3 linked regions of the Tribolium castaneum genome follow. The protein of the gene in region 2 purifies or fractionates together with the protein of the main gene of each other region. This does not show direct contact. Links are inferred from orthologs where the notes say so. Each region holds a gene or a part of one and is shown on either strand. Other genes may lie near its edges.

Region 1 (3,761 bases), on a different chromosome or scaffold from region 2:
ACATATTAATAATAATAACAGAAATATAACTTGAGAAAGTCATAGCTGGAACAACCTGTATATGATTCATGCAAAAAATTATAGACAGTTCTCTCAACAACTGGAAAAACAGTTAATTAACCGACATGCAATGTCCATCACCTGATCGGTAATTTATTTAAAACGGTTCAAAACAAAGAACAATGCAACAACAAAAAACCGACCTCATCCCAAACATTTAAAACGCAACTTATTAAACCAAACATTAATTCATTCTGTGACGGAAATTAATTAAATTTGTTGTGTGGGTGTAAAAAATCAATATCAATTAACTCCGATTTATAATTAGTACAAAATGTCTCGTCCCATCTTATTGTTTTTTTTTTCTTTCACGAAAATTGCATCTGAAACCTTTCACATAAAGCTTTATAGATTTTCCCCTTTTCAGTAGCAATAACACTGACGTTTATTTCTACAGTCCCGACAAACTTTACGATTTTCGTTTTTCTTCTGCAATGTGCACTTAGCTCTCGTGCAATTTTACATCCCCAATTCCCACCGTACGAACTTTATGCACCTGCTGTAAATTTTCATCCCTTTTACACAGCTCCCACCAGTCTGTTTCTTTCATTTTTAATAAGTCTGGCGAGGGGCAATTCCGCTAATGGTAAGACTGTTTGATATACAAAAATCGAAAATAATCAAATATTTTTTTTGCTCTGCATCAACATCTATTATTACTACGTATCGCTACGTAGAAACAATCATCTTATTTACGAAAAGTTATACATAATACAAAAAAAAAATTGTACCTAACTCGCAATTCATGCAGCACTCGCTAGGCTCGTGCCGTAAATCACCAATATCCCACCTAACATTTTGTGCAGTTAATAGTAGTTTATTTGAAGTCTCACAAAAAAGAAATTTCGAAAGATAACTTGTATTATAAAGAAGTTGTGTGCTACAAATATGTCCCCAGGTCAAAGTTTGTAATTTTATTATTTTCTAAATTAATCAATAAATGTTTCATTTAATAACTGTTGTCATAAGCAGGGGTGGCCAAAATTAAGTAATAGATCTAAATAATTTTAAAAAAACTTTAGGTACTTGTGACCCTTGAAGTCCCCACAAATTGTAGCAAATAACTGAGCATTTTTTCAGGGAAATAATCTAAACGTGGAATCGCGACTCACCTTCTTGGTTTAGCGGGGTAATGGTGGTGGTTGAAGTGGGAGCCAGTGCAAGAAAATTGGGGCACAGCAAGCCCCATCCAACGCTCTAAGGCCCCCTGCGTGCAGTCGGCGAGCACCTGCGTGAAAAAATTCAAAATAGCCACAATTTCGTGCCTTTCCAAGCGTTCCCAGCTAACGGTTTCGCACACAATGCTGTGGACGCTTGGGTGATCAAGGGGGCTCCAGGCCCGATTTGACATTTTGACAGTTGTCATCCAGCAAACAAAAGCCACCAACTGGGATACTTACAACGTGATTTTGTTGCCAAATTCGTACGATTATCACACTAGAACATTGTCAAAAGCGGTTAATTGCGAATTAACTGGTCCCGCAATAAAACAACGAAAAAAAAGCGTTTTTGTGTCGTTCACCGCGACGAATCGACCCGACACGTTATCACAATTTTTATCACTGCGAATTGGGCCTCAAACTCGAGAGAAATTCATCGTTTCATTTACTTCGCCTTATTTTACACACAATAAACAAAATTATTGTCAAATATGAGTGTGATATATTGACTGGAATTTGACACTGGCGCCACCTCAGATTTGCACGGAACTACAGAACTACCAGTAGAGGGAGCAGCGATCGCTCATTTTTTCTGTCAAAATTAACACATAACCTTACTTCATTTCCAAAAAAATAAATAGATAATGTGAAAAAAAGACACAATGGACAACATTTTTGCGAAACCTCCAGCCTCCACGAGTCAAATCATCAAAGCTGACCCCAACTACGAGTCCATGGACGAAGACGACGACTCCACTGTGGAGACAGTCAAAGTCGAGGAGACCCAGCTCACGTCTGAAATTCACATCAAAGACGAAGAAAATGTGTACCTGGAGTCGGATATAATAATGCCGGAAGCCCCTCAAAGTAGCAGCGCTCCGGCTAAGAAGAAAGAGGTGAAGACTAGGAAGGAGATGGAGGAGGAAGAGCGCGAGAAAATGCAGTAAGTTGGTGTAAAGTGGGGTTTACTGAGGGTTTGTTGTAAGGGTTCTAGTCTCGAATTTCACCGAGGATCAGCTGGATCGATATGAGATGTACAGGAGGTCGGCGTTTCCCAAAGCTGCAATTAAAAGGCTGATGCAGACGATTACAGGGTGTTCTGTTTCCCAGAATGTGGTCATTGCTATGGCTGGGATTGCCAAGGTCTTTGTTGGAGAGGTTGTGGAGGAAGGTGAGGATAATTCAAAAAAATATTTTTTTTATTTTCTCTATTACACCAAAACTATTCGAAAATGTGGAATTATTTTGGTCTAAGCCTATGTAAAATGATCCGAGGAATCGATGGGCGCCGAGAAAATCTCCAAATTCCCAATAGTTTTTTAGTTATGATTTTTTTAAGTATTAACCAGACAGCTTTCCAATGAAATTACGTCTAATAGTTTAATTTTTTTTATTTTTGTGAAGATAAGTGCCTTGACCACTAAAATTATGGTAAATTTTAGTTGACAATTGAGACCATCAGCTCGAGATTGAAAATACATTCGGAAGCTCAAATAACGTGAAAATACGTATTAACAACTTTTTTCTACAGTTGCCACTGCTTAAAGCACTCTTTAAGCTGTAAATTTATTATTATTTTTTTGATTAATTCAAAAGAAGTCGATACGAAAAAGCTTACACACCTCTTTCCGGCAGTGGTGTCACTCTAAAAAATTAGTAAAACAGTCCAAAGACTTAGAAATGTCAAACTCTTTTTTTGTGTGCAAAAAAAATCAAACATGTAAGTATTTGTGTAATTAATTATTACGCTCGATAAGACTTTCTTTATGGAATAGTGGTCTAACGAACCATTGCACTGTGGACTATGTAAAAAGTAAAAAAAATAACTATGTAAAATTACAAAAAAGTTAATTCCCTATTTTTTTTAAAATGCCCTTTTGGTTTAGCGAAGAACAGGAAAAAAACATCAATTTGAAGAGTTATAAAAAATTGTCTTGGAGCCGTGCTTTGAAATTTTAGGTCGCAGTTAAACAAAAGTTCTAAGATTATAATTTTGAAAAAAATTTTTCTTTTCTGTGCCCTACTGTTACAATAAAAAACCGATAATAAATAATAAATTCAAGACAATTGGTCGCCTCTAACAATATTTTTAAATAGCAAACAGATATGAGTAAGGAAATGGCAGTAAAAAACAATAAATCATAAACTAGAAGATTTTTCTAAAAGCTTTTTTTGTTTTTGCCCATTTGCCTATTAAGTGCCAATTTTTAAGTTTTTTTAATTTTTGAGTTAAAAGTTGCAACGTCGTAAATTAAAAAAACAAACTTAAACAAACAATGTACAATATTTCTAAATGCCCTTCGTTTTCAGATCAATGATGAATCTATTTTTTTTGATAAAGTCTCAATTGACATATTTTTAAATACAGTACTACTAGAAAAATCATTCTTTGTCACTGTACAATCACATTTTTGCTCACTAATACTCATTTACGTAATTAAAAAATAACTAGGAGCATTGCCGATTTTATAACTCAAGTCGGAGGCAAAATCTATACGTTAAAGATATGAAAATGACATAATAATTATTCCCAATTGTTAT
Region 2 (3,761 bases):
ACGATATATTTCTAGCACCGTATAACTGGGACTATGATAATCTCGAGTCTGATTTTAAAAATTCAGGGTTGGATCGAAACACAAATAATTGGAAATGTGTTGATGATTTCAACTGGTTGAATGTTGAAAGACAATCTCCAAATTGGTCGTTGTTAGATGAAGGGAAACTTGTAAAAAATTGGGATAATTCATAACGTAGTAATAAAAATTCGTAGTTTATTATGTTTTTGGAGCCCCGTAAGCATCAGGCATGCGTTCAATTGTATACCTATGTTGTGCAACATACATGATGGGAACACCCGGAATTTTCCGAATTCTGCGTTTCAAATCCTTATCATTCGTCGCAACAATGTAACACTTGTGTTGGGTGACCCTCTGGACTAGGCAATCATCAGCGTACGTCCCTTTATGCATGCACTTAATCCTCTCAAACCTCGGATCCTTTATTATCCTCAACGCCACTTTATACTTCTGACCTAATTTCTCTAATTCGCCCAAAACACAATCCGTAATATACGGAATACACTTAGCATACAAGCAGTCCATCATATTCTGAATAATATCCAACTTGTTCTTGATCGAAAAATTAATAAAGTTCGTATCAACCAAAATGTGATATGGAGGCCCCAGTTGGGTGTTGTATTGGAAAAAGAGCGCCGAACTAACTTGGGGCACCTCACGCACTTTCATTTCGTGTGGATCTTCGGGTTTTTTCTTGCGAGGAGGGGCCCTCTGGCTGGCTTTTATGCGAGGGTCGCTGGGACTGATCATTGTTTTCATTTTTGCAAACCGCTTCTGGGCGATTTTTCGCGTCTTCTTCGCCTTACCCTAAAAAACATTTCTATACGCTGTGCAAACACCAAAGCGAACTTTTTACCATCTTTTATTTTAAAATAAACACATGTAGAAAAAGTCAGGTTAAATATGCGTTGCCAACATTACAACACTAAATAAACAATCAGGGAGAGGTGAATAAATTAAATCCAAAATAATTGTTTGTGTGAAAAAACTGTTCCACTGACTCGAAATTTTTAAAAGGCGACATTGTGAGCGTGAGCCGTGAGTGTTATTTTTAAATTTATGATGCGAATTTGAGTGAGGTTAAGGCGGGCGTTGCCAACATTCTGGTTGATTTGTCCCCAAAAATTATGCTAGGAGAATAATTTATTAATTTGCTTCCAAATCCGTTTTTCCAGTGAAAAACAGTATTTTCGTGACGAAAACTCTGAAAGAGAACAATCAAGGAATGTTATTTTGTGTTTGTATGGTCTGAGTTCAAGTTTTTAAAAATTATAACCGTTTATGCTAAATGTTGACTATGATTTTATTGTTCAGTTAATTAGTTCGTTAATTAAAAAAGTGTAAAGACAACAAGTACCAAAATGGATCAAATGTTGCCAAGCCCCGGTTTCAGCATTCCTAGCATAGGTAAGTCTCGATTTTTCCTTCACACTTCCTTAGTGAGGCTTTAGGAACCCCCTTGCACCAGCCCGAGGAAGATCAGATGATTTTGCCCAATGCTCTGCAGCAACAACAGCAGCAGCAACCTTCCACAACATCACAGTCCCAACAAGTCCCGCCTTTGGCCCCAATGGGAGCCCTAACACCAACTCTGGGGTTGGGCATGGGCATGTCCATGCCCCATACGAAATATGCGGGCTTCGCCCTCCCCATCACGAGTATCCAGTCACAAACACCAGTACGTAACTAAATTATTGAATAATTGGAACGTTTAATTAAAATTTTAGCAACACACTATGATGTCCCCTATGGTGAATTTGGGGGGCTCAAGTGGTGCAGCGAACACCCCGTCGATGGGCCCCGCGACGCCGTCGCCCCTGACACCGATGACCCCGCATTCGGCCGACCCCAACATTGTCCCCCAATTACAGTAACAGTCCAAACTTTAGTAAAATTAGTTTGAATATTTTTTGCAGAAATATTGTCTCCACAGTTAACCTCAGCTGCAAGTTAGACTTGAAAAAAATCGCCCTTCACGCACGTAACGCTGAGTACAACCCCAAACGTTTCGCTGCAGTTATAATGAGAATCAGGGAGCCCCGAACTACTGCTCTTATTTTCTCTTCGGGAAAAATGGTCTGCACGGGGGCTAAAAGCGAGGACGACTCCAGACTAGCAGCGAGGAAATATGCGAGAATTATCCAAAAGCTGGGCTTCCCCGCGAAATTTTTAGACTTCAAGATTCAAAATATGGTGGGAAGTTGCGACGTTAAATTTCCGATCAGATTGGAAGGACTTGTCCTCACGCACAGTTCCTTCAGTTCGTATGAACCCGAGTTATTCCCCGGTTTAATTTACAGAATGGTTAAGCCCAGAATTGTACTACTTATTTTTGTCTCGGGTAAAGTTGTCTTGACTGGCGCCAAAATCAGGCAGGAGATTTACGAAGCCTTTGATAATATTTATCCAATCCTGAAAAGCTTCAAAAAGCAATAATTGCTTCATGTGCTACGTTTAATTGTTGACTGTAAGTGGGCCTTTTATATTGTTAATAGACGAGAATCAAAAATTGCTTTTATTTTTCCTTTTGACAAGTCCAATCTAACCTCAAAATTAGTTTTTTTACATTATTAATACATTATGCTGCACTAGAATACAATCAATCGAAAGGGAATGGAAAATTCCGCTCAGTACTTAAGTTCAAAACTGATAAGTAAATAATTAATTAAAGTTGATTATGGTTTACGAAAATTCAAATTTTTGCCACATAACCTCAAATTTTTTGCCAAAAAGAAAAAACTCGCTCGTTTTTGTCTTAAATGAAGAACAATAAACTCTAAAAAAGTGGAAGAATATCAGAAGACGGTACAAATTCCACGCCTTGTAAATACTGGAACTGATAAAAAGCGATGTCAAATTCCAACATGTTCAAGTAATTATTTTAATCTCTACAGTTCGGCGTAAAATAACAACAATGCCCATTTTACCAGGTGAGGCCACACGCCAATAATTGCGTTACTAATCGTAATTTTATCAGATAAAGTGCGAAATTTGGTGAAGAATGTTAGAAGTATGTTCCTAAAATGGTCAGTGCAAAGACCGATTTTGTCCATGTCTTTGGTGGTGATTTTGGCCGTTATCCTGCTCCCCGTGGTCACAGCAGCCACCCTAATGCCCGTTGCGCTATTGCTCACTTACACGGGAATTTTGGCGTCACAGGGAATTTTTTACATAACTTACAACATATTTATCCAAGGAATGCTACTAGCTATGGTAATTGTAGCCTTATTCGTTGTTGGTTTTACAATTGCAACAAGCGCGAGTGTTTTCCATTCATATACAATATTTAAAACGGTTACCATAAAGAAAAAGCAATAAATTTAAGTTTTTATTCGTTTTTATGTGCCATTTTTTCCATTAATGCCCATAATTTTCGTACTACTTGTTCCTCGCCTATTTCACCATAATTGAAGACTTCATAGTTTGGAGGGTTCGTCCGTACCATATCTGTTAGTTTATAAGGAATAAAGTTGTTAAAATGAACGGCTTGGTTTTTTTTTTAGAAAGGATACAGCCTGTGTTAGGTCTTGTATAATCAAATTGTGTTGCAGTTAATAACTTATACAAATATAAGGAGAGCCTGAAATAAATTCATTAGAGACCAACGTAAGAGTCATTTAAATTTCATACTTTAGGCTCTTAAGATTTTGCAGCTTATGATTATAAGTTTCGCACCGTTTTGTTGTTTCCCGGAGTTTATTTTTCTTTGCACCAAATTCGGTAGTTAAATTTGAAAGTTC
Region 3 (2,340 bases), about 6.3 Mb from region 2:
GACCGGCTTCATGGTACCGATACCAACTTCCGGTCATCGAGGGCCTACGTACGGCACATTATGATGCTGAGCTTCATACCTCCAAGGGAGGCCTACCCCGACCCCAACCCTTGCAAACACAAGCTGGGCAAGCAGTAATGGGGCCAGGGCACGATATTTTAACTCATGCACATATAATGTAATAATGTTAAAGTGAATATTGTTAGATGTAGTTATTGCGACACATCCTGAATATGACCAGGATTCATAAAAAATATTGTAATTGTTATAACTCTCTAAGGGGTGATTTTTTTGAATATTTGACGGTTATTGTAAGAACGGAATGTTCCATCCGCAGCTTCCTTGGCCAATGAACGAAGTGTCCCTTCACCCGTTGTGTCTAACGTGGCAAAAACTAAGGAAGCTGTGGTTCCATCAAACACAATAAAACTTGTTTTGCGTAATATAACATTTATATTACGTTGCGGTTACATAAATTTTATATTTGTTAGTGTTTATGGGGCAACAGCAATGGTTTTTGGGAACAATCTCAAGAAATCCTTTTTCCCAAGGAAATGGCGAACGTAATTAGCGTAAGGAGTGCGAGAATTTCACGGGCTGTATTTTTACTATTTGTATTATACTATTGGTTAAATATAGCAATAAATATTCTGACTGTGAACCGTCTTTTATTTACAAAAAAAAAATAAACAATCTTAATATTTCTTCAACGTCTTTCTGATCAACGCCAGGCGCTGCTTGTGCGCCTCCGTCGTCAGACTCCTCTTGTACGGCCTCAGCTCGTCCGTTCCGAACCCGGGGGTCCACATATTGTAATTCCTATTCAAAAACTGCTGAACATCCTTGACTTCGATCGTGTTGACGCGCCGGTTTTTCGCAATGAGGGCGGCCCCGTTGAGGCACCGGTCCACAAACTCGTCCACGTAGTTCAGAATAATTTCCTCGACCTCGTCCTCGAGGTTGAGAGTGGAGTCGGTGTCGCGCACCAGGTCTTGGAGTCGCTGTTTTGTCAAGATTTGGGCATGGTCCGAACCCTGGATGGTCTTGATTGGGGTTTGCATGGTCTGGACGCCGACGAGGCTTGCCCCCGCCATGGGGATCGTCTCCACGACTATGCCAGGCTTCATGTCGCTTGACTGGTCGACTGAAGCAGGGGCGTGCGATAGGGCAGTGAGCGGAATTCCGTTGTTTGCATTGACGTTCGTCATGATGGTGTGAGGGATGGGCACTTGGTTGATTACGATGTTCTGTGGCTGGATTAGGTTGTTGGTCAAGTTGGGCACAGACATGGCGAAAGTAGGGTTATGTTGAAGTCAACAAAGTGGGGAAATTACTGATTGGGGCACTCCATTGCTAGTCACCCACTTTGATTATTAAATTATTTGCACGAAACGTGAGTTAAATTAAGGGGATTTGGTTTAATAACCAACTTTCTAGTTTTTTGTTGTCACTTCGATGACAGTTCGTCACGATGACATATCGGTGAAAATAGCACCAAAAATGGTGCCGCCACTATGAACATTACAGTCGACCAGACAATCTCTGCGCGCATGGAGCTTGCACCAAGAAAATTATCAAAATAATCGTAAATCATCTTTTGACCATTGTAATGTGATTCTATTAAAAATTAAACTTGACTGCATTTAATTTCTGAATTTTTTATTTTCATATTCAAGCATTGCAAACCGATTTTTTTCACACTCTTTAAATCCTGCAATTTTCTTTATTTTTGCAGGAGATTAAGCCCTTCGATAGGGCCTTCGATTGTGAAAAAATCATGTTCGAACAAACACCCTTTGGGACCTTATGAATTTTTTAAGATTCTTTAAGATTTTTCTATTTTGCAAGCTTTATTTTTTTTTCACCCCTTTTATATCCCGCAATTTTCTTTATTTTTGCAAGAGATTAAGCCCTCTGATTGCGCCTTCGACTGTAAAAAAATCATGTTCGGACAAACACCCCTTGAGACCTTAATGAATTTTTAAAGATTCTTTAAAATTCTCCTATTTCGAAAACTTTATTTTTTTTCATCCCTTTTATATACTGCAATTTTCTTTATTTTTGTAGGAAATCAAGCCCTCTAATAGGGCCTTCGACTGTATGAAAATCATGTTCGGACAAACGACCCTTAGGATCTTAACGAATTTAAAAAAAAATCGTATTTAAGGATTGCTCTAATTAGTCAAATTAATAACTAACTTGTCCAGCAAGAACCACGTGGAGGTTTAGAGCATTCTTGCCAGGAAAAAAGGATATAAGGATGAGGTAAACAATGATTATTAGAAAATGAGGGAAATAAAAGAATTATTGGTAATTATTGGAAATAAAAAAAATACGTGA

What was found.
Region 1: the proteins of Tbp (region 2) and Taf11 purify together in Drosophila melanogaster (affinity purification with western blotting; 3 studies listed by BioGRID, with this or other methods). This does not show direct contact. The link is inferred for Tribolium castaneum from reciprocal best matches to the Drosophila melanogaster genes Tbp and Taf11.
Region 3: the proteins of Tbp (region 2) and Taf12 purify together in Drosophila melanogaster (affinity purification with western blotting; 3 studies listed by BioGRID, with this or other methods). This does not show direct contact. The link is inferred for Tribolium castaneum from reciprocal best matches to the Drosophila melanogaster genes Tbp and Taf12.

What each region holds. Positions count from the first base shown.
Region 1 is NC_087394.1:5,384,317-5,388,077, reverse strand, and holds the start of Taf11 (transcription initiation factor TFIID subunit 11), read left to right. Parts: upstream 1-1,454; 5' UTR 1,455-1,882; coding exon 1,883-2,163; intron 2,164-2,206; coding exon 2,207-2,391; intron 2,392-3,761. UniProt on the Drosophila melanogaster protein: The TFIID basal transcription factor complex plays a major role in the initiation of RNA polymerase II (Pol II)-dependent transcription.
Region 2 is NC_087402.1:9,986,844-9,990,604, forward strand, and holds Tbp (uncharacterized protein Tbp), read left to right. Parts: upstream 1-1,290; 5' UTR 1,291-1,382; coding exon 1,383-1,428; intron 1,429-1,472; coding exon 1,473-1,699; intron 1,700-1,748; coding exon 1,749-1,891; intron 1,892-1,937; coding exon 1,938-2,457; 3' UTR 2,458-2,951; intron 2,952-2,998; 3' UTR 2,999-3,504; downstream 3,505-3,761. Other genes in the region: Tbcc (tubulin-specific chaperone C), read left to right, coding at 1-194; Bka (rRNA-processing protein FCF1 homolog), read right to left, coding at 220-828, 878-880. UniProt on the Drosophila melanogaster protein: General transcription factor that functions at the core of the DNA-binding multiprotein factor TFIID.
Region 3 is NC_087402.1:3,650,129-3,652,468, reverse strand, and holds Taf12 (transcription initiation factor TFIID subunit 12), read right to left. Parts: upstream 1,524-2,340; 5' UTR 1,290-1,523; coding exon 696-1,289; 3' UTR 649-695; downstream 1-648. Other genes in the region: fatty acid hydroxylase domain-containing protein 2, read left to right, coding at 1-138. UniProt on the Drosophila melanogaster protein: TFIID is a multimeric protein complex that plays a central role in mediating promoter responses to various activators and repressors.